Cricetulus griseus: one gene and its partners. The protein of the gene in region 3 purifies or fractionates together with the protein of the main gene of each other region. This does not show direct contact. Links are inferred from orthologs where the notes say so. Each region holds a gene or a part of one and is shown on either strand. Other genes may lie near its edges. The genes, in order: ubiquitin carboxyl-terminal hydrolase 22, Zzz3, Tada3 and Supt20h.

Region 1 (5,463 bases), on a different chromosome or scaffold from region 3:
ATACCATTAATCCTAGCATTAGGGAGGCAGAGGCAGGTGGATCTCTGAATTTGAGGTCAGTCTACAGAGTGAGTTCTACGATAGCCAGGGCTACACAGAGAATCTCTATCTCAAAAAACAAAACAAACAAAACAAAACAAAAAAAACAAAAAAGAAACAAAAACCAAACAAAAAAGATCTGGTGAACACTCTCACTCACTGGCATCTCATCTCTATGAAGAACAGCTTTGACTAGAACATACTAGAGTCCCTTCAAACACACAGATGCCAAGGAACTGGAAGGGATCGTCTCCACTCATCCCTCTGGATCCCACATCTACAGCAGCTTAAGAGCTGAGTGTTGAACAAACCCAGGAAGGCACTCAGGCAAACCCAGGTTGAACCCTGTACTAAGAAATGCAAGGTTTTCTATCTATCTGACACTCTGCATGCCCCCCTCACCCACCTATGGTACAGTTGGAGGTGATCTTCCGCCTCTTAGGGTTGTGCTTCAGCAGTTCCAGCTCCCGCTTGGTTGGTTCCCAAGTCGAAAACTTCTCTCCAACACCTAAGTAGATGGAAAACAGTCTCAGGCACTGTTAGCTAAGTTCTCTTGTAAATAAAAGCTGTGATGACTTGACCTACACTGAGCTCCATTCAGAGAGGGAACCTTCTTCTAACACCCCGCTGTGCTGAGAGGTGCCAGATCACAACAGGAGTTTCCCTCAGTGAATGTCTATGATCACACCATGTTTATTGAGTCAAGGAAAGTAACATGACCAACCCATCAAAATGCCAGACACTAGTGTTTCTCAAATGCCTTGGATACTGAGGTTCAGATATGGTAGCATCAGCTCCAATGGGGACAACCTGACTGACAACTCATGAATCTTTCTGAAAATGAGACTGCCAGAGAAAATGTACTTTTGAGTCTGGCGTGCAGCTTAGTAGTAAAGCACTCACCTACAATATGTTTGGCCCATGTTTGATCCCCAGGACTGGCAAAGAAAGAGAAAATGCACTTTCTTTGTTTTGTTTGTTGTCAGAGTTAGGGTCTCACTGTGTTGCTCTAGCTGGCTTGGAACTTGCTATGTAGACTGGACTGGCCTCAAACTCAAAAGATCAGCCTGCCCATCTCCCAAGTGCCAGGACCGTGAAACCATGCACCACAGCCTGCTGAAAATGCACTTTTGATCTGCTTGCTGAAAGACTGGAACCCATGACAATGATACCCACTAGGTACTGCACTCTCACACACCCCACTCAGAGAGACTTTTCCTACACGACTTAAAATTTCCAATTCAATAAACTTTAATAGTATATCACTTGGCCAGATGGAATCAGAATGAGTTTTGCCTTCTTCCTGATCCAGGCACGGCCCCTTAGGAGTCACAGTCACAGGGGCATTGAGGTACCTGGCCAGACTAATGTCACTGGGAATGAAGAAATGCTGGAGGGGCTTGGTCCATTAAACCAGATGCCAATCTGCACAAGTGCAGCACTGGCTGGCTCTCCTTTGCTCCTTGTGTCTCACTGTCTCATCAAGTTCTACCCTTACCACACCTCAAGGAGGTGCAGGCTCACTGTGCCTGACCTTCTGTGTTAAGGACATTATAGAGAGAAAATGTAAAATGCTTCTACATCATATATATTAAAAGTCATTTCATTGGGGCTGGAGTGATGGCTTGGGGGTTAAGAACACTGAGTGTTCTTCCAGAAGACCCAGGCTCAACTCCCAGTACCCACCTGGAGGCTACCAACCAAGTGTAACTTCAGGTGCCCTTCTCTGGTCTCCTTGGGTACCAGGCATGCAAGTGGTACCCAGACAAACATGCAGGCAAGATGCCAATACACATAAATTACAATAAAATATTTAAGGGGGGCTGGAGACTTGGCTCAGTGGTTAAGAGCTCGAACTGCTCTTTCAGAGGATCAGGGTTCAATTCATAGCAACCACATGGGGTTTGCAACCACCTGGGGGGGCAGAGGCAGTCCAATCCTAGGGGCTTACTAATACGACAGTCTCTTTGAAATGCTGAGTTCCATGTTCAGTAAGAGACCCTGTCTCTAAATATAAGATAAGAGAGCAACTGATGTTGACATGAGGGTGTTCACACCACTACAAACTGGCATGTACACAAACAAAATTTAAAACTCCTTTCCTTATAATATTTTCACTATGGGTTTTGTTTCCAGGAGTACCGTGTATACACTTGTTAACTACGAGATTTTATAAGGCTGCAAAATCATGGCAGTAGCTAGGGGGTTGTGGCACACACCTTTAATCCCAGCACTTGGGAGGCAGAGACAGGTGGATCTCTGAGTTCAGGGCCAGCCTGATCTACAAAGTAAGTTCCAGGACACCCAGGGCTGTTATACAGAGAAATCTTGTACCAAAAACAAAACAAAAAATTCATGGAAATAATATTTGCTAAAGATCTTTGTGTAACACTTATTATAAAACTTTTTTTTTTAATAATGAATTAATAGAAGATGCCAACCTCTGCAAACAAAAAAAACATTCAGGAACTGGGTAGCTTCCATACAGATAACAAACTGAAGGATTATCTTACTATATTAAACTTTGCCAAGAAGAGACATAATATTTTGTATCTAAGGAGTAACTGTTACCATATGCTTTTGTTAAGTGCTTGAAGCTTAAAAACCGCCTTTTACTAGATAAAATGTTAATTTAGAAAATAAAGTTACAAGACTGACAGTGTGTGTGTGAGGGGGACTTCTGCATGGTTTCTGGGCTTTGCTTACCTGGAATACACATTTTGTGAATGCTGGGACAGGCTGTTTTTGCTATACATAGGGAAATCTTAAAAAAGAGAACAAAATTTCTAATGGTATTGTCTCCATGATGCATCTAACTCCACTGCCAAGAGTAGCTCATATCATTTAGGCATAGGCATTGTGGTGGCTTGAAAAATGGCCCCCAAAGGGAGTGGCACCATTAGGAGGTGTGGCCTTGGTGGAGTAGGTATAGTCTTGTTGGAGAAAGTGTGTCACTGTGGAGGCAGGCTTTGAGGCCACATATATGCTTTAGCCAAGCTCAATGAGACAGACCACTTTCTGTTGCCTGCACAAAATGTAGAACTCTCAGTTACCTCTCCTGTACCACATCTGCCTGCATGCTGTCCTGTCCTGCAATGATGCTAATGAACTGAACCTCTGAAACTGTAAGCTGCCACCACCATGAAATGTTTTTCTTTATTAGGGTTGTCATGGTCATGGTGTCTCTTCACAGCAATAGAAACCCTAACTAAGGTCTATTTCAACAGTTTTTGTTTCTTCCTTTTCTGTAGTAGTAGGGTTCAAGCCCTATGCCTTGTATATAGTAGGAAACGGTTCTACCTCTGAGCCAGACACTTGGTCCAATATTTAAGGAATTTCCACACTAGTCCAGCAAGAGGCAATACAACATCTCAATCTGCCAGGGCTAGGAACTGAGTAAGAAAAGGGAGAAACTGTACTGTCTAACAGACCTTCTGCAGGGAGGATGGACACAGCCTGGGGTATTGCCGTGGAAGAGCCACCCATCCTCTCCTAAGCACCAAAACCCATTCCATTAAATCTACACGCTTCCTGCATTAGTTTCATCGTTTCTGTGAGCTATGGGACTGACCCAGGAAAAGTAGGACTTGTTTTTTTCTCTCCTACCCAGACTGAGCCAGCTTCCTTGACTATTTTTTGGTCACCTAACCTTCTCTAAGCACTGTGAACGCACCTTGCAACTTCCATGCCTTTCGCTGTTCCTCTTTGGCAATGATTTCTATGTCCTTGTCATAGATGTAGTCCTGACACAAGAAGCAGTATATCCCTCCATACATCAGGTCAATAGCTGCAGACAGAAAGGAGGGAAGAGAACAAAATTAAATCTAGCATGGTGAGTTAGTGCTTCAAGCAGCTGAACATGAGCCAAGTATTCTAGACACCAGCTGCCCAGAGCATTTTCCTCTATGAGCTGCAGGAAGTCCAACTGCAAGGGTTTATCCAAGGTGGGTGAGTATGTCTGCTGTTTCCAGAAGTTTCCCGGAGGGATGAGCAAGAATGAGAGGCACACATCTGTGGCTTGCAAAGTACTGATGCAAGGATCAGGGTGCTCTGCTTCAGCTGTGCAAGCACAACACTCAAAACTAGGGCAAAACTTCACGGAGTATTTATTTTAGGTCCACAAGAGTTCTCAGCGACCTGACTGGGGAATGAGACTTTGCTACATCCTCGATGGCTGGCAGTCTTGTAAGGGAGACTAACAGCTATTTGCTGCTTCCTCTATCTTGACTCTGTGTTGTTCTTTTTCCAGGGACAGGTGAAACAGGTTCCACTCAGAAACCTTACTTCACAGCACAGAAACTGAACTTTTATCTGTGCCAGATGCTACTTCAAAATTAGGGACTGGGATTGCTGGGTGACAGAGATTCCAGGTGTCACTTTCTGAGCTGTTGCCAGACTCTGAAGCAGGTATACCACTGAAACAATTGTTTTCTGATCACAATGGAATTAACTCTACAATAGCAGGGGAAAGAAAAAACAAAACAGAAATCTCAGAAGATGGGACAGAAACCACCCCAAATGAATCTAAGGAGAAATCTTAGGAAAACTAGAAACTATTTCAAGAAAAATGAAAATAAACCTGTTGGGCATGATGGCCACAACTTTAGTCCCAGCACTCAGGAGACAGTGGCAGGTGGATCTCTGAATTTGAGGCCAGCCTGGTCTACAAAGTTAAGTTCCAAGACAGCCTTGTTTCAAAAAGGAAAAAAAAGAAAGACAAAAAAACCTATCACACTAAACCTTAGGGACTTGGGGAAGGAGGTGGACACGATGCTAAGATGGAAACTGGTGGCTGTACATGCTAACATTAACCAATATTAAGCCAAGCATGATCATGCATGCCTACAATCCTAGCAAGCTGAAGGCTGATAAAGGAGGATCCCATGTCTGAGGCTATCCTGGGCTATATAACAAGACAGTTTAAAAGAATAAAGCAAGTGCCTATATGGTAGACATAGCCTATAATGCTAGCACTGGGGAGGTAGAAGCAGGAAAATCAGAAGTTCAATTCAAGGTTATCTTTGGCTGCATGGCAATTTCACAGCATGAGACTGCCAACAACAACACACAAACACACATGCACAACTACTTCACACACACATGCACAACTACTTCAAACTCTTGATGTTATATGATGCTTAGCTAGCCTTTCATGAACCCGCATTACTGAAAACCAGGAAAACCCATTGCTAAAAGGGTTTAAAAGGCCTCAAAGCAAATGGTAACACCACTTGAGAGTTCAGTTTCACAAGGAGGCTTTCATCACAGTGGGCTTTTAGGGAGGATAATGTGCTAACTGAGCCAACGCCTGCCCCTGCTGCAGGAGGGTGTCTTACCCAGGTTGTGCCGCTTTGACTTTGCATGGTCATGGATGTGTTTCTTTGTGAAACAGCCAAAGAAGACACAGTAGAGGCAAGAGTGCAG
Region 2 (5,463 bases), on a different chromosome or scaffold from region 3:
TAAATGCTGCTCTAAGGATGACCTACACTGCCTCACAACGTGAGGACATGTGGTCACTCAACTTCTAATGTCACCAGAATGACTTCAGAAGCCTCATGTGTGCCCCGCCCTGTTCCGGAGTCATTTCTTTTTTTCTGGTCTAACACTTTTCACGCTCACCTCTGTAAACATGTTATCTTTTTTTTTTTTTTTTTTAAATAAGCAAAGCAATCTCTGCCCTTCTTTAACACTCTGTATTTGTAATGACTGGCCAAAACAGTACAGTTTTCACTCAAGGGGATGAAGGGAATTACATGGGTTATTTAGAAAACAGTGTGAACTACATAAATACTTCAAGGGTCTCATGAAACTCTGAAGCATAAGGAGTCAAATACAGTAACAATTCCTCCAACCCTGAAGCTGACCCGTCCAAGATATAGGAGAACAAAGACATACGTATGTTCACAGCTCCGAGCACAGCCTGTTACATAACATGTTTGGGTAAATAATTCCTCAAACAAATCATTCCAACAATCAAATGAACAAACTCGCAGATAAAAGCCCTGTCTCAAGACCCAGCATGAGCATTTCTAGAGGACAAGTTTAAAGGGAAACACAACTCCACAATACAACCACTATTGGTTACTTAAGAGACAAAATGGAGAGTATGGCTAACTCTCCATTAAAATCTCCTGTTCTGATTCTATGCAATCAGAGTGTCAGGATACATTCTTCAAGCAAGGAATCAGTCATTTCACAGGAAATTCAGGACAAAGAAAAAATGAGATGGCACAAATGGATACAGCTGATACAATCCACACCACGGCAGCAAATCCATGGACAAACAAACCAGGTTTCAGTGCAAGCAGTTAAGGCTGAGGAAAGTCAAAGGAGGGTTTTTCATCCCTACCCCCAATTTATCGCCACTCTTTGGCTCCAAACAAAGTAAAAAGCACCCCAAATTAGTGAGTCCAGCTCAGGGGTACAGTGCTTGCCTGATGTGCACAGCGCCCTGAGCACGTGTGTGCACACACTTGGTGGCATGACCAAGGTAACCAGACACTCCATTACATGAAGAGTCACTCCTCAGAAAGCTGAGCTTGCTGTCTGGAACTATCTCCTTCCAAAACCATCTGAAGTGAGACTGAGGAGGAAGACAGGCAAGCAGACTAACTGCCAGGTGACAATTATTGAAGCTGAGGGGCGGGATATGGGTCCAGTGTGCTGTTCTCACTACTTAGCTATATACTGAATTTTCTTCACGGAAAACAATGCATAGAACTTTAAATCTGACTTGTTGGTTAAAAGGGGGTACATCAGGGTACATTCCCTGAAGAGAAGGAATAATCAAAAACGCGTGTTCCCTATAAAAACAGGCAGCAACTTACCGACGCCTCCTCCACAGCAGGGCTTGTGTGGCCATGAAAACAGGAGCGGTCATCGTCTTCATCCATATACACTGGCGGCTCATGGGAAGTCATGAAAGTGGAGGGTTTGAAGAGGTGCTTATTGAGAGGGTGCTGCCGTCTGCTTGCTGAAGACTGCGTGAGAAAAAAGATGTCTTATTGGAACAGTGGGAAACCATGAACAGAATCAAAAGGACAAAAACGTGCACACCCACCCACCAGTTACAGGAACTCAATACTGGCTGCACTCAACTCTCATGATCAACTTCTACTGAAAATCAGAGAATAAAATGGCCTAAGTCAGATAAATAACTGCCCAGTAAAAAAGAGAAGGTTTTTTATGCCATAACATTTGAGTGTCCAAAACAATCACCTAACAGCAAGTCACTGCTTGCTTTCTAACAGTCTCACTTAGCCTCACCACACGCCTACACAGTAGCTATTCAGAGATGCAGAGACCCCCGCATGAGGTGGGTTTCAGGCTAGGGCAGAACTGGGAGGAGATCTGTGTGGCGGCACAGCCTTCGCTACCAACCACTATGCAGACCAGTCTATACCACCGTCATAAAGAGGAACCACTGGAGTCCCTCCATTCCACCCATGCAAAGTCCAAGCGGTCGCCATGGTCAGGAACATTATGACGATGGTTGCACCACTACTCCACAGCCATGATGTCAATGACCTTCCAAGAGACTACTCTACAGAATGAACAGATTCAGGCTTTGCCAGTGTTCCTTTCTGATATTATTCACTCTTTCAGGCTTTGCCAGTGTTCCTTTCTGATATTACTCACTCTTGTTTGTAAAAACACAAGGTATAAAGAAACATTTAATAAAATTAATTTAGAAAAATTAACTAAGGGTTTGGGGATATTCCTCAATGGCTGAGCATTTGCCTAGCATAAATAAAGTCTTGGGTTTGAACCACAGGAGGGGAGGGGTATGCCAGGCTCCAGCATTCCAAGTACTTAAAACAATTAACAAACTAAAATGATCTTGAAACGCTTGATTAAACATAATTCCAAAAACCCATGGAGCTGGAGAGATGGTTCAGGTGTTAGGGTACTTACTGTCCTTGCAGAACATTAGAGTTTGATTCCCAGAACCCCTGAAGGTTGCTCACAACCTCCTAACACGCCAGCTCTGGGGGAAATCAATGCTCTGGCCTCTGTGGGTACCAGTATTCATATACACACCCATTCATAGACATGTAATTTAAAAAGTAAAATGAATCTCTAAGAACTCAAAGATGTCAACTATATAAACAATCTCCTTATTGTAACATGAAATCATATAAACCAGCACCCACCAGGAAGGTCATAGCAGCTTCCTTTATGTGAAGAGGGGGCGTGGCAGAAGGACGAGATCATAAGGAGTTGCCAAGCCAACAGAAGCAGCCTCTATCTCTCCTAGTTGGCTGCACACTGCTAATGCAGTGCTCTGTGCATCCCAGAGAGCTTCTCTGACTAGAGGGCAGCGGGGAAGCAATGGGACTGCAATAGAGAGGACTGATGGCCTAACTCCATGGCACACTCCCTGCCTTGCATGCTGAGGACCTAGGTTAGTGCCTAGTACCCTGAAGCAGGGTGAGGGGGCAAAAAGGCCGCTTGGGACTAACATGAAAGCAACACAGCAGCATTCATCTGCAATCCCAGCAGAGGTGTGAGGACCAACACAAGCCTTGATGTACACAGCAAGTTCTAGGTCAGCTAGGACTACCTAGGGAGATTGTCTCAAAAACAATGGTTCTCCGCTTAACTAGTTTGTGGCAAGATGGTGTTTATATGTTATTCTGGTCTACTGTGCCACCATAAAGTGGAAGGGCGAACACTACTTACAACTCTAGAACCACAGTGAGGGCGGGCTAAGGGTTTCAGGAACATTTCCAGTCTATGCAGGAGAGCAGGAAGAGAGCAAGCCTACATTTCACAGTCCATACCTTACAAAATTTAACATCACAAAGACATTCCCAAAGAATTGGTACAAAAACCCTTTAAGTAGTACTCATTCATATTACTTACAGGAAAATAATGAAGAACTGTTAAAACTTAGCATATTTTTCTAGGTAGCAACAAAGGGAATCTTATTCTGCCTTTATACCCAAGGTAGTGGAATGTCAAAAAGAAGAGGAGCGCAGCCTAGCAAACTCACACCTCCACAACAGTCCCTCCTTACCTTTTTAGAGTACATATATAAGTTAGGTGTTCGGCCTGGAACTGGAATGCCAGCTTTAGTTAGCTTTATGAAGTACTTCTGTACACGGCTGGCCACCTAAGGAAACAACAGTTCTTAAATACAACGAAATGATATATCAGCAAAGTTTTAAATGGTGATGACTAAATCGAGAAATAACCTTTAAGTGATCATCAAAGACATCTGTATTTTAAAATCTTGACAGAGTCATTTCAAGTAAATTTAAGTTTGTGTGATTTCGAAGCTAAACCCTTACTGTCACTGGTGAACATGGGTGAGTACAGCAGGAAGCCATCACCAGTAATGCAGATGAGCGCGAGGAAGGAAGCTGCCGTGTCCATGTTCAGAAGACAACCAGGATTACATTAATGCCATGCACAAAACCCACCAGCACAGTCTAATCAAAATGACACCGCAGCACACTCACTAGGCTTACACTCAAGAGATACAAGGTCCACTGTATATATATATATTTTTTTAATGTTTTGCATTGATGCAGAACAGGTTTACTTATGTTGTTTCTGCAATCAACATAGAAACAAGCAATGCTAATCATTTAAAACCATCACACACTAGAGCTAGCAAGGGCAGCAGCTGTGCCAGCATGGCTGCAGAACTGTCTGCCAGGTCTGCACGCACAGCCCACAGCCTTCCCATCACCTGTTTGGCTGTCCGGTTGCCCAGCTCATCTGCAATCTTCTGCCACCGCCGAGACTCTACTTCCTCAGGAGGGTATTTCAGGAGGAGCTCTTCAAGTTTTTTCTGCATCAAACCCAAGACCAAGTTTTAAGTGAAAAAATGTATTTTTCCATTTAAAACACTGGACTTCTAAAAAGACACATTCACATTTTATTCAAAGTACAGTGCTGCTTTCCCAGCTCTGGAGGTCCCATCATTAGATTCTCAAAGTAGAAAAGAGTTCCAGTCAGGGACATAAGATGCCACAGGCAAGATGAGATCCACGACGACACCTAGTAAAGCCCCGTGGAGGATCTGTATTCACTTTATTTAGTGACTATAGCACAAGAGAGCAGAAGAGAAACAACACGTCACGTCGGGCTGCACACATCTGAGTGAACGAGGCTCCCCAACTGTCTTTGGGCCAGAATGCACAGAGGAGCCATGTCAGAGTGTTCCCTCTTGTGTCATCTGTCAGCCAAGCATCTGACTGGATCCTGGTACTCAGCTTCTAACACTCCATACACAACCTAACTAAATACACAACATCAAGGTCACACTTCACTACAGCTGGGCAACACCAGCCCTTAGCACAGGCAATCTGAGACAACAGAAATTAAAATGCAACTTGAAGGGGCTCTGCATGTCCTGAGGGTTTTCCCAAACCCAGGGTTTCTCTCTAAGAATTAATCCTAAAAATAGTTCATGCATCTTCAAAATCCAAAACTCTCAAACTATGCAAAAGGGATAGAAAAGTAACTCTACACATTTTAAACTCATGATTAAAAGGAATTACAATGCAACAGTAAACACTTGCCTGGCAGTGCTAATTTTACTATTAACAGTTCAGATTGTCATTAAACCCAAACAAGCTAGACGTATGTATTTACCTGTTCTTCAACAGTCCACAGCTGGTTGAATGTTTCAGGTTTGGTGTCATCACACAGGCGACCTCTTATCATCTGCATATAAAAGAAGGCTTTTATAAATGGAAAACAGCAAGGATATAGCTAAAGAACACACAAGGAATGTTTCACAATTTCCAAAATATCTTTGCGTATTTTTAACACATATACCACCTATTTACTGATTAATTTTTTTTATATTCTTATATTTCATTTGGTTTTAAACTCTTCACAATCCTCAAATAAACAACAAGAAGTGTGGGTTCAAAACTGAAAAGTAACAATTCCTACAGAGACAAAGCC
Region 3 (6,230 bases):
TGCTCTCAAATAACTCAACTGGATGAGATCACAAGGACTAATGGAAGGCAAAATGTAAAATTAACTAGGTTTATAAATAATCCATACTACGGAAATTAGTATGGACTAGACACAAGATCAGGAAGGTGTTTGTTTTGTTTTGTGAGACAGGGTTTCTCTGTGTAGCTTTGGAGCCTATCCTGGCACTCGCTCTGGAGACCAGGCTAGCCTCGAACTCACAGAGATCCGCCTGCCTCTGCCTCCCGAGTGCTGGGATTAAAGGCGTGCGCCATTAACGCCCGGCCTTCGAAGGGTTTACAATGAGAAAAAGTAGACCTGGGACATTCTCTGTAGCAGACAAGGTCAGCTTAATGATCAGCTACATTATTTCTCAAGTTATCTCTGTCTCCCCTCAGGGCCTATCACATGCTGGCCATCACCTGCATTCTTTCCTCCTCATTGCTTAGGTCAGTCCGTCAGAGCTCAGCTCACTGAAAAGGCCTCTTCCTTCCTCAAAGTGGTCTTCTTGACTTCCTCCTCAGTGCATTTACCAGAGTTTATGATATGTACACTTTACCATAATTCACAACAAGACATTCTTCATGTATTTTCTTAAATTGGTTCTCCTTCACTAGCTTGTAATTCTCATGGTCAACACACATTAACTTTATTCAGTTATGCTGGTTGCAACTAGCTCAGTACTTCCTATACATAGCATTTTACAAATTTCCTGTAGAGTGAACAAATGAACCGCGAGAAGCATTTTAAACTGCATAGACCAGGCTGCAATGGCAGGCTGGGATAAAAACCCTAGACAATCTAGAATGCCAGTTCACTGAGTTAGCCTTTCTCTCAATGTGGCAGGAAGCATTGGGACTTTCTGAGGAGGAAGTTACATGACTTCAGCAGAGGCTCTCTGGAGAATGGAATGGAGGGAAGTGAGACTCAGAAGAGGCACTGAGTACAGACTGGAGTGGAGAAAGCACAGCATCACAGGGGACAGCCAGACGTTAGACAGAGGAGGGAAAGGCTAAAAACACAACTAAGTTTGCACGTAGCCCGGTGCATTATGTTTTCTCTACACACTAGAGAATTCTATTTATATGTTAACCAAAAAAAGGCAAAACCGGAAGGGTGAAATTAGTAGTTGTCTGGGGTAGAGTGTACCCTTGGAAGAGTGATAGAATGTTCTCTACCTTCATTGAAGTAATGGTTATCTGATTATTTTGTTAATAGTCAAAGTAAGAAAACTAAAAGTGAATTCTAGGTGGCTAGTCCTGTGATGTCTGCCCTTTAGTGAATAGAAGGATCTCAAGTGCAAAAAAACTTAAATGCTTAAAAATGAAAAGCTACATCCTCAGTCAAAGGGATACGGCTTTCAGGCTGAGGAATGAAACCAGTTAGGGCATGGAACGCAGGAGAATGAACAAGTTTAGAAAAAGCATGTGACTTTTGAACAAGAGGGTCTAATTTCAAGGTGTCTCTCCAGAGTCGAGTCACAGGAGCATGGCAAGCAGTCCGGCATTTAGAACTGAGGTCATCAAAGCCAGCATGACCGGGGAAAGCAGTAGGAAGAGAGATGCAACAGTACGGAACACCCACAGACACCAAACCCGAAAAAACCTGGAAGGGAAGGGCCAGCGGTCATCAGCGCTTACACACATTAAGGTCAACACCGTACCGCACTACGAGGAAGGAGCCTGAATGGAGGCAACACCACAGAACCTTCATTGAGGCCTGGAAGCAAGGGGTGGAAGGGATCGAGAGTAATAAGGAGGAGTGGACACTTGCCTTGGGGTACCGTGAGATCGAGAAGACAGGCGGGGACAAGGGGGTGCACTTAGCGAATCTCTACCGTGGATGAAGAGGAGGCCCTGCTTCATTCCTCAGTGGTCCTACCTTGCAGCCGCCACCACAGACCTAGCAGCCCCACTTCCCGCCTCCTCCGAACTCTGGCGAGAGAACATTCCTTCCGGGGATGCCCAACTTGGAAGCATCCGGGCCTGCTCCTGCCCAGCTCACCTCCCAGCTCGCTCCTTCCTCCTCGCATTTGCCCTCGCCCCACCCTCTGCCTCCCCATCCTCATCGTGCCCCCTCATCCTAGGGCAACCTCCGGCCGCAAGCTCAGGCGGCAAACAGCATCTCCCCCAGACCCCACAGCCTCTCCTAGCAAGACACAGGGAGTCCCCCGAGCCCGGGGTCTCTCACCATCTCGGGTGCTGTCGCGGGGCCGGAAAGCGGAAGTGCGGAAGTGCCCGGCCCCGCGACGCCTGCCCTTTCGCGAGGCGCAGCCGCAGTCTCCGCCAGCACTTCCGGGGGGGACCATCTCGAGCAGGACCGGGGAGGAAGTTCCGAGCGACGTTCGGATCCCCTGGACGATCTCACACTGGGACCGTAGGGACTTGTAGGAGGCCTGGGATGACACAGTAGCACTCGAAGCCCCTTGGGTCTCCATACATCTCTTCCCAGCGCCTTTGGTTCTTGTCGCCTCTGTTGTAACTTCCCCCCATGTAACAATAGTACAGCCCGACCTCAGGTTGGGCACCAAATTAGGACAGGCAGAGCCGGAGAAGCCCGACGTTTCTTCCGGTGGTGCTCCCTTCTCCGCCCGGGCTCCTCCTACCGGGAGCCCTGGGGCTTGGCCGAGCAAGTGGGTCCCTGGAGATCTGGGCTCTGAGCCCCGCCCTCGCCCCGGGCTGCTTCCTAGGGGACACCTCAGGCCTAGCATTCCACCTGTCGGAGGTTCGTAGGTGGCCTTAGACCCCCCACCCCCCGGAGGCCACCGTGGGCTGGCTGTGTCCCCGCCCTCGCGTCAACTGCAGGGGGCCGGGCCCGCCCATAGCCAGTTCCGGGGCGGTTGCTTGAGAGCACTGGACTCCCCGCCCCCTCCTGCGGCCCGGGGCCTGTAGGAGGCCGCAGAGAGGAGGTAGGAGAGGCGGGAGCTGTGTTAGGGGCTCCCTAGAGGACGAGGACCCTGGAGGCGGGATCTTGGGGCGACACACAGGTGGAGCCAGCCATTAAGCAGTCCCACTTCTGTGCCAGGCACTGAACTGGGCACCTGAGAAGCATCACCTCTTAATCCTCAGAACATTCCAGGGAGGTAGGTACTCTTGATGCCCCCATTTTACAGATTGATACTTTTTAATGGGGAAACGGACCGAGGCATCATCTCTTGTCCTGGAAAAAAAAAAAGAAAAGAAACTAAGATTCAGGTTAAATAACATGTTTAGAGGGGCACATAATGGGCTGGAACTTAGTTCTGTCTGCTTGACCAGCTCGTGTTCCAAACTAGCTAGGGACGCAGAGAGGTACAAAAGTGGAATGAGGAGAGGCTGGGTGAACCCTGTAAGATAGAATGCTTGAAAGAGCCCAACAGAGGGCATAGGAAGACAGGGCACACTGGTATCTCTCTTGTAGTGCAGGTTTGAGACTTCTTGGGTTCGAATTAATCATGCAGGTTTGTAAACCTAGTTACTAGGGAGGCTGAAGCAGGTGGATCATAAGTGCAAGCAAGGCCTGTCTGGACAACTGAGTGAGAACCTGTCTCAATAAAAAATTGATGAAAGGGGGCTGAATGTAGCTGTTTGGAGACTATGTGCCTACATGCACTGAATAAGCCAGGTGTGGTTACATGCCTGGAATCCCATCACGTGGGAGGTGAAAACAAATATTCGGTTACTTAGCAAGTTTGAGGATGGGAAGTCAGGTGTGGTGGTATACACCTTTATCCCAGCACTCTGGGATGTAGAGGCAAGTATAATGAGTACCAGGCCAGCCAAGACCACATAGTGAGACTTTGTCTCAAAAAAAAACAAAAAAACAAAAAAAAACCTGAAGATAACAGCATGTGTGAGACTCAGGTTCAGTCTTAAGTGCTACCAAAACAAAAAAGACAATGAATTGCACTTAGGAGTCTGTTTCCTTTTTCATCAAAGGAAGAAAGGAAAGCATGAATAAAGCCCATCCCCCAAGGTTGTGTGTATAATTCAGTGAAGTAAGCCCCCCTCTGTACAATCAGGGCTCTATGAACAGGAACGTTGCCACCATCCGTATCTATAAAGGTATTGAATCCTGGTTTCTTTGTTGGACCTCTCTTCCATGCTACTTTGTCTCCCATCCAATGGCCTTCTCTCTAGTTTTACAGAATCCCATCTCCTGAGCCATGAGTGAACTGAAGGACTGCCCATTGCAATTCCATGATTTCAAGTCTGTGGACCACCTGAAGGTCTGTCCCCGGTACACGGCAGTACTGGCCCGCTCCGAGGATGATGGCATTGGTATTGAGGAGCTGGACACTCTGCAGCTGGAGCTTGAGACCTTGCTGTCCTCTGCAAGCAGGCGGCTGCGTGTACTGGAAGCTGAAACCCAGGTGATTCTCCAACAGAGGGGACATCACTAGAGAAAGATTGTGTCAAGTTATGGGATGGCTCATTAGGTTAATGACCTAACATTGACACTATATGTTGAGGATATGGATGGGAAGAGAGACCCAAATGGGAATTGTGACAGCAGAGTTAGGTCCCAACGCCAGGGATGCCATCCTACTAGACTTCAGAAGATGGATTCTGTCCCCTTGTAGTCCCTGGAATTCCCTGGGAGCTTTCTGAGATATACTGTGACACAGTCAGTTGTTTGTGTAGACAGGGCTCCCAGGAGGGTTGATGATTGAAATGAAGGTTAGCTGGGAGTCTTGTTGGCCATCACCAAAAAACCCACCACCAGCAGCATATTTCCCAGGACTGCTGCTATGCTCTGGGGCATAACCTTTTTAAAATTTGTTTTGTTTTTTTTTGAGACAAGGTTTCTCTGTGTAGCTTTGGAGCCTGTCCTGGAATTTCTCTGTAGACCAGGATGGCCTTGAACTTTGAGAGATCCACCTGTCTCTGCCTTCTGAGTAATGGGATTAAAGGTGTGCACCACCACCACTGCCCAGCTTTATTTATTTATTTATTTATTTTGTTTTGTTTTTCGAGACAGGGTTTCTCTGTGCAGCTTTGGAGCCTATCCTGGCACTCACTCTGGAGACCAGGCTGGCCTCCAACTCACGGAGATCTGCCTGCCTCTGCCTCCCAAGTGCTGGGATTAAAGGCATGTGCCACCAACGCCCGGCCAGCTTTATTTTTTTTTAACCTTTCTACCAAACAGTCTGTGGCTAGCTTGGGTAACAGAGGAGAATGAGATGTAGACCTCTGGTTCGATGCATGTGAGAAAAGTCACAGAGAAAGAACTGGATAAGTGCTTTACTTAATAGCCTCCAATTGGAGATCTCAAGTCATCCAAGTGGGGAAGAGGAGCTTGTCTCTTCTCTCCTTCTCAGTGACTGCCTTTGTGTGTTTCAGATCCTTACTGACTGGCAGGATAAGAAAGGTGACCGACGATTCCTGAAGCTGGGTCGAGACCATGAACTTGGTGCTCCCCCCAAACATGGGAAGCCCAAGAAGCAGAAACTGGAAGGGAAGGCAGGGCATGGACCAGGCCCTGGCCCAGGACGACCCAAATCCAAAAACGTTCAGCCAAAGATCCAGGAATATGAATTCACTGATGACCCAATTGACGTGCCTCGGATCCCCAAGAATGACGCTCCCAACAGGTTTTGAGCCTGAACACATAGAACAGAGCTAGAGGGGGCTTAGGGACTGGTGGTGTGGTCTTAGAAGACCCAGGGCTAAGGCTGAAGGAGCCCAGAGGTGCCCACTCAGGGTCTGCTTCTCCCTGCAGGTTCTGGGCCTCTGTGGAGCCCTACTGTGCGGATATCACCAGTGAGGAGGTACGAACACTAGAGGAGCTCCTGAAACCTCCTGAAGATGAAGCCGAACATTATAAGGTAGAAACCCTGAGCCATAGAACCCTGAGTTATAGAACAGGAGGGCTCAGAGGTGCCTCGGAATCCTAGGCAGCAAAGTCCACATCATCTACTTCCTTCCTTCCCAGCCTCCTGCCTGCTGCATTACCCCTGCAGACACTGAGGTTCAGCTTTCCCTTGCTACCCCCACCTCAGCCAAGTGGTGCGTCTGTCTGTCAGTGAAGTTCATCCTGTCCGCTTGCCTTTATCCTAAGAGCCTCTGAACATGCTCCTTGCTTTTAGACTTCAGCAACCGATTTCTTTCTGTACTTAATATATAAAAGTTAAGTTCCTGTTTCATTTCTAAGACACTAGAACTTGCTATGGTGTCCAGGCTGACCTTAAACCCTTGGACTCACCATCTCCCTCTCAGGTCCCCAGGTGTCTGGGACCACAAACATAACATCAC
Region 4 (5,463 bases), on a different chromosome or scaffold from region 3:
GATTACTTACATGAGCTGGCCAGACTGTTGGTTGAGAGTCATCAGATTTGATGGATTTTTCTACTTTAGCATATTTCTCCACCTAAATGGTAAAGACATGGAATCAGTATTGGAACAAAGAGAAGAACCTGAAAAATTCAACAAGACCAGTGTGAATATAAGGTTTCAACTACCAGTATCACCAAGCACTTGTATTTAATAACTTTAAAACCCTCCTGATGTGGAACTGCAGATGATAAAGTAGTTAAGAGCACTAGCTGCCTGAGGGCCATATATGAAACAAGAAGACAATATGGCTTGCTTGGTTTATATACATAGGCTATTAATGCCTTTGGCTTTGTATTTTAATTGTTAGGACAATAACACAAAAGCATTATTGAAATAATGAAGTAATTCTGAAATAAGGATCATAATGAATTGAGTAAGGGCTGGTGAGATGGCTTAGCAGATAAAAGTACTTTCCACTGAAACTGAAGACCTGAGTTGTTTGATGCTTAGGAACAATGTGGTAGAAGCAAAGAATCAACTCTCATCTTCCACACGTTATTGTATATACACACACACCACACACACACATATACATATGTGATAACTGAGTAAATAATACAATTGACTCTGAGAGACACAAGAAATGAAATAAAATATTGTCCTTCATTAACATCCCCGTGATCACTTAGAATTTGAATAGTGCTGGGAATTCCTATTTTGGGTCATGGCTCTAATATTACTAATCTTTAAAGTCTGCCAATTTTGAGTATATAAACATAATAAGTTTATTTCTTTTACATTATATAAAAAATATCACACCCTTTCCACATTTTGAAACCTTATTATTATTCCTGCTCCTAACTGAGAACTCCTTCAAGCTATGCTATTATGTAACTAAGGCTGGATTGGTGGTCCATTCTCAGAATCTCTTGACTTTGGAAACTGAGTGAGAGAGGAGGATTACCCCAAGATGTGAACACCCTGGGCTACACAGCAAGACCCAGGTTTAAAAACACAACACACGAAACTTACATGACTGATGTAAATACATAGCTTCTTAAAACGAGAACTTGGTTTGTTAAAAAGGAAGGATTTTGGCTTTCTTTCTTTTGTTTTCTCACAGCATTAGCTTCCTAATGATGAACTTTGACCCTGTGCTAGAGAGCAGCATTTCATGAACTTACATCTACTTCAGAAGGCACAGCCAGGTTACAGGGGCTCCGTTTCCACATGTCCACACACTGAAAAGTTAAAGGCAGTACAATTACACCAAAAACTTAAAACAAAGTTAGCCTGTCAGAATAGTAAGCTCCTGAAGAACGACTTACATTTCCTGCTTTAGAAATTTTGAGGTCATAATGCTGACCTGCTTTCCTTTCCTTCCGTTTTTGTAAGAAATCAAGTAATCTCAGCTGAGGGGGAGGAGGACAATGAGACAGGTCCTGCTGCCGGTTCAGGGAGGACCTGGAATACCTCTTCAAACACCTAACAGACATTGGAATACACAAAGCAACAACTCAATCTATATGGAAAAGAAGCAGCATATTAATTATAGATTAAATTGCAAATGCCTATCCAACACTCTCACATCAGCAAGCTTTAGGTACAAGTAAAACAAAAAGGAGACCAAATACTCATGACCATGTAGCCAAGCTGATTCAAATCCCGAAATGGAAAGAGAGCCCTTATAAATTAACCCCTAAAACTCTGACTGTATGGCTCAAAATTTGTAAGTTACATACTATTTCCTTGTTAGATGTTTCCAATTAGTGTTGTGAAGTAATGAAGCTACCATCCTTCTGTTCCTATCTGGTCTTTTTTCAGCCTCACAGACCATAAACTTACTGAAGTTCCTTCTTTAAAAGACTGCAGAGAATACCACTTTACAATAATGCAGGGAATATTTTTTAAAAATCCTACCACACAAAATCACAATACAAGGCCATTAAAAATCCCATTTTCAAATGTAAAAAGTCCAGCACTGCCATGCTGAGGGAAAGGGCACTGTGGCTAGCAACACTTAAGAGCCTGTGTTACACAAGTGCCGGAAATTACCGTTTCATTGGGCGAGTGTTCATCTTTTGCCGGTTATAGAGCAGCCTATTTGCAGTACAAGCTACTGCCACAGATGGGTCAAGACACAGTGGTTCTGCTGTAGCTAGAATCAGTTGGCTCTCAAGCAAAAGTTTGTCTTCCTGAAATACACAGGAGTATATGTCAGATTCAGATATATTTTTCATAATGTAAACATACATCATTTAAGCCAGAAATATTCCCAAGAAGTTTGCTTAAGACTAAAGTAACTGTAGTAACTCAAGTTTGAACATTACTGTGTAAACCCACAAGATAAACTTCTGATGGAAATTCAGTTTTTTGTATATTGTATAAAAGAGTAAAATTCAGAGAGTGAATATTTATTTGGCTGTCTAAAATAGTTTGTTTGGAAATGGTGGAATAAATTTTTCCTTTGTTTACCAGTTCTCAGCTTAAGAAACTGATGCTTTACTGCTCTCCAGCACTGACTGCAACTCTGTCTCTGATGTGAAGAACTTTTGACCTTTTTATAGATGGGAAAACAACAGCCCAGACTAAAGCTCATCATTTACTAGTTTTGGATAAGCTGAATCTTAGTTCACAAGCTTATTTCATAGAGGGCTATTTCATTACTGAAATTTTCTCTCCACAGTAATAGATAAAAAAGAGCCAGAACTAGAGGATCAATTAATTAGCTGTTGTCATTGCTAAGAAATCCTGTTAGACCAGGTGTGATGATACAGGTCTTTACTCTCAGAATTCAAGAGGGAGAGGCAGCAGAATCTCAAGTTCCAAGCCAGCCTGTGCTAGAGATCTTACTCCAAAAAGAAAAAGGGAGAAAGGAAGGAAGGGCGGCAGAAGAAGAAAAAATAGGCTTCTTTTAGAATTTTAGAATCCTGGATGGAAGAAAAATCACAATCTATATGCATTCAATGGTAAGAATAAAGATTTTGTTGGATAGGATGAGTCGGACGATGGTGGCACACGCCTTTAATCCCAACACTTGGGAGACAGAGGCAGGAGGATCTCTGTGAGTTAGGGGCCAAGCCTGACCTAATAGAGGGAGTTCCAAGACAGCCAGGACTGTCATATAAAGAAAACCTGTCTTAAAAAAAAATAAAAAAAATTAATAAAAAAAAGTAACAAGAACAAAAACAAAAATCTAAAATAAAAACAAAACAACCAATTTTCATGTTAGGCTTTATAAATTAACTTAACCCTAGTTTAGCAACAAGACTGGAAGCAATTTGGGACTGGATTATAAGCAGTTCCTTGAGGGATTTCTAAATGTACAGATTTTAAAATCCCAAAGCTCATAAGGGAATCTTGGGTTTGTCCAAACGTCCAACCCAACACACAATCAAATGTGAGTAAAAGTAAGCCTCTCACTAATGCTTCACTCTGTGTGTGGTCTACATGAGATTAGAGAGAGAACTAACCTGGGTCCATTTATGGTTGTCACTTGTTATAGAATGAACATCACAGACTAAAGTCTAGAAGAAACAAAACATTTTAAAACATGTATTTTCATATACATATATGAACATCTAATAAAATCCAAACTAAAACAAAAAACAGTACTTCCTAACTAGACATTCCATACCTGCATTGTTGGACGTAAGAGAATGTGCCTACTTTGGTAACCAGGAGACTTCATGTTACTGGATTGCCTATAGTCACGTATTTCTGCTATCACACATCCACAATGAAAAATATTAACCTGTTTTAAGTAAAAAAACATTCAGGTAAATGTCATTTTTCAAAAGCCAAAATAAGCAAGCTTATACTGAATGTTTCAGTCTTTAAACTCTATACTTTCAATAGATATCTTTGGTGGATACACTACTATATAAACTACTAGAGATGATTATTTTTATGTTCATCATTATAAAAAGCAATTTAAAACTGTTAATAGTAGACTGACATTGCATCTAATGATATCCAGGATAACTTTGGCATTCATCTATGGGGAAATTTCTGGAGTTCCTTCAGATGGAGGTTCTTCTGAAGCTCACTGGCTCATTATTTCATTTAGCTAGTATCATAATTGTTATATAATTTGTCATTGCAATACACTAACTGTGCCACAATTTCAGCTTCTAGATATAACTTCCATATTTGCTTTCCTGAAATTTCTAGACTTTTTAGACTGTATGAACAAGAAGGAACTAACCATGAATTTAACTCACAACTATGTTGTATTGCATGTTTAAGAAACCTTAGCACTCAGTTCACTACAACTTACCTACTCCCTCACAGTATGTTCAGGCACTTTATACCGTTAGTTATTTGTGCTCAAATACAAATTGATAAATACAATCGATACTTCTATAACCATAGTAGTCTTTATCTTAAGTCAACCAAGCTAATACTAACAGCTAGTCTAGAATTATCATATGAACCCTACTTAGCTTCCTTCCTTATGTGCATGCTTTCTTTAAACAATAATACTTATGAATAGGATATTAATCACAGTCTTAACAATAAATATTTAAAATATTACATTTGGCCAAAGCTGTACTTTTTATACTTTGTTGTTAACAACTGGGAACTTAGTATACTAATAATCTACACTTTCCGAATTATACTAATTGCTACCACCCTTACAGCTGTACATATCACATGATTTGCTACCAAAGGACAACAATTACCTGTTTCTCTAGTTGGGATTAATGAAAGCAACCATCTTTTAATCAATTCATATAAACATCTGGCTATTGGAAATCTTCATGTATCCAATGTCACCCAACAATGATACCTATGCAACTGCTCTCTCTGTAACCATTTTGGATTTACTTTAGCTATCAAATCAACATGAAGCTGAAGATAGCCTTGAACTTCTGACTCTCCCCGATGCTAGGATGAAAAGCATGTATCATTAAGCCCAGCTACACTGCATAGAACAATTCAGATTCAAACAGAAAAGTGACTAATAATGCCATGCCATGAGATCAGTGACTTGACAAAATCATCTAAGAAATGCTTGTTACAAGGCTGGCTAGATGAGTGAAGAAAGAGTGTGATAAAAAGTTTATAGACAAGTTTTTGAGTGCCTTTGTAGTGAGAAGAACTCTAAATCAATAGCTGAAAAAAACAGGGAGGTCTTAAGAGGTTTTCAAGCTGAGAACACAGCATGTTTAAATTCTGTATCTAGTGGGGGCTTATGGTTGTAAGCCACCAAGAAGGGAAAGACCTAGAAGGGAAATAGGGATCAGGACTTAAGGAATGAGATTCATCCACTTAAACAAGAAAGCAAAGACAACGTATGGAGAAAGATGCAGGAATGCTGGTTAATTGGTTCCACTAACACTATGAAGAAATGGGAGTCAAGTCAAGGTAGCAAGAAAGGCAAGGCAAGTGAGTCTCTTACAGGGTACCTTTTAAGTATCTTGTTTGTGATCTGTAAGTAAGCTTCATAAACAGTGAAAATAGATTCTTTTA

Evidence for each region.
Region 1: the proteins of Tada3 (region 3) and ubiquitin carboxyl-terminal hydrolase 22 purify together in Homo sapiens (affinity purification with mass spectrometry; 5 studies listed by BioGRID and IntAct, with this or other methods). This does not show direct contact. The link is inferred for Cricetulus griseus from reciprocal best matches to the Homo sapiens genes TADA3 and USP22.
Region 2: the proteins of Tada3 (region 3) and Zzz3 purify together in Homo sapiens (affinity purification with mass spectrometry; 4 studies listed by BioGRID and IntAct, counting the BioPlex papers as one, with this or other methods). This does not show direct contact. The link is inferred for Cricetulus griseus from reciprocal best matches to the Homo sapiens genes TADA3 and ZZZ3.
Region 4: the proteins of Tada3 (region 3) and Supt20h purify together in Homo sapiens (affinity purification with mass spectrometry; 3 studies listed by BioGRID and IntAct, counting the BioPlex papers as one, with this or other methods). This does not show direct contact. The link is inferred for Cricetulus griseus from reciprocal best matches to the Homo sapiens genes TADA3 and SUPT20H.

What each region holds. Positions count from the first base shown.
Region 1 is NC_048600.1:75,153,952-75,159,414, forward strand, and holds part of ubiquitin carboxyl-terminal hydrolase 22, read right to left. Parts: coding exon 5,376-5,463; intron 3,827-5,375; coding exon 3,713-3,826; intron 548-3,712; coding exon 446-547; intron 1-445. UniProt on the Homo sapiens protein: Deubiquitinase that plays a role in several cellular processes including transcriptional regulation, cell cycle progression or innate immunity.
Region 2 is NW_023276806.1:6,887,774-6,893,236, forward strand, and holds part of Zzz3 (ZZ-type zinc finger-containing protein 3), read right to left. Parts: intron 5,218-5,463; coding exon 5,146-5,217; intron 4,340-5,145; coding exon 4,238-4,339; intron 3,656-4,237; coding exon 3,560-3,655; intron 1,521-3,559; coding exon 1,368-1,520; intron 1-1,367.
Region 3 is NC_048601.1:31,420,507-31,426,736, forward strand, and holds the start of Tada3 (transcriptional adapter 3), read left to right. Parts: upstream 1-2,583; 5' UTR 2,584-2,721; exon of another isoform or gene 2,722-3,021; 5' UTR 3,022-3,079; exon of another isoform or gene 3,080-4,115; 5' UTR 4,116-4,141; coding exon 4,142-4,348; exon of another isoform or gene 4,349-4,374; intron 4,375-5,318; coding exon 5,319-5,569; intron 5,570-5,697; coding exon 5,698-5,803; intron 5,804-6,230. Other genes in the region: Arpc4 (actin-related protein 2/3 complex subunit 4), read right to left, coding at 420-425. UniProt on the Homo sapiens protein: Functions as a component of the PCAF complex. The PCAF complex is capable of efficiently acetylating histones in a nucleosomal context. The PCAF complex could be considered as the human version of the yeast SAGA complex.
Region 4 is NW_023276806.1:96,587,391-96,592,853, forward strand, and holds part of Supt20h (transcription factor SPT20 homolog), read right to left. Parts: intron 3,743-5,463; coding exon 3,626-3,742; intron 3,516-3,625; coding exon 3,462-3,515; intron 2,184-3,461; coding exon 2,044-2,183; intron 1,474-2,043; coding exon 1,317-1,473; intron 1,230-1,316; coding exon 1,173-1,229; intron 83-1,172; coding exon 11-82; intron 1-10. UniProt on the Homo sapiens protein: Required for MAP kinase p38 (MAPK11, MAPK12, MAPK13 and/or MAPK14) activation during gastrulation.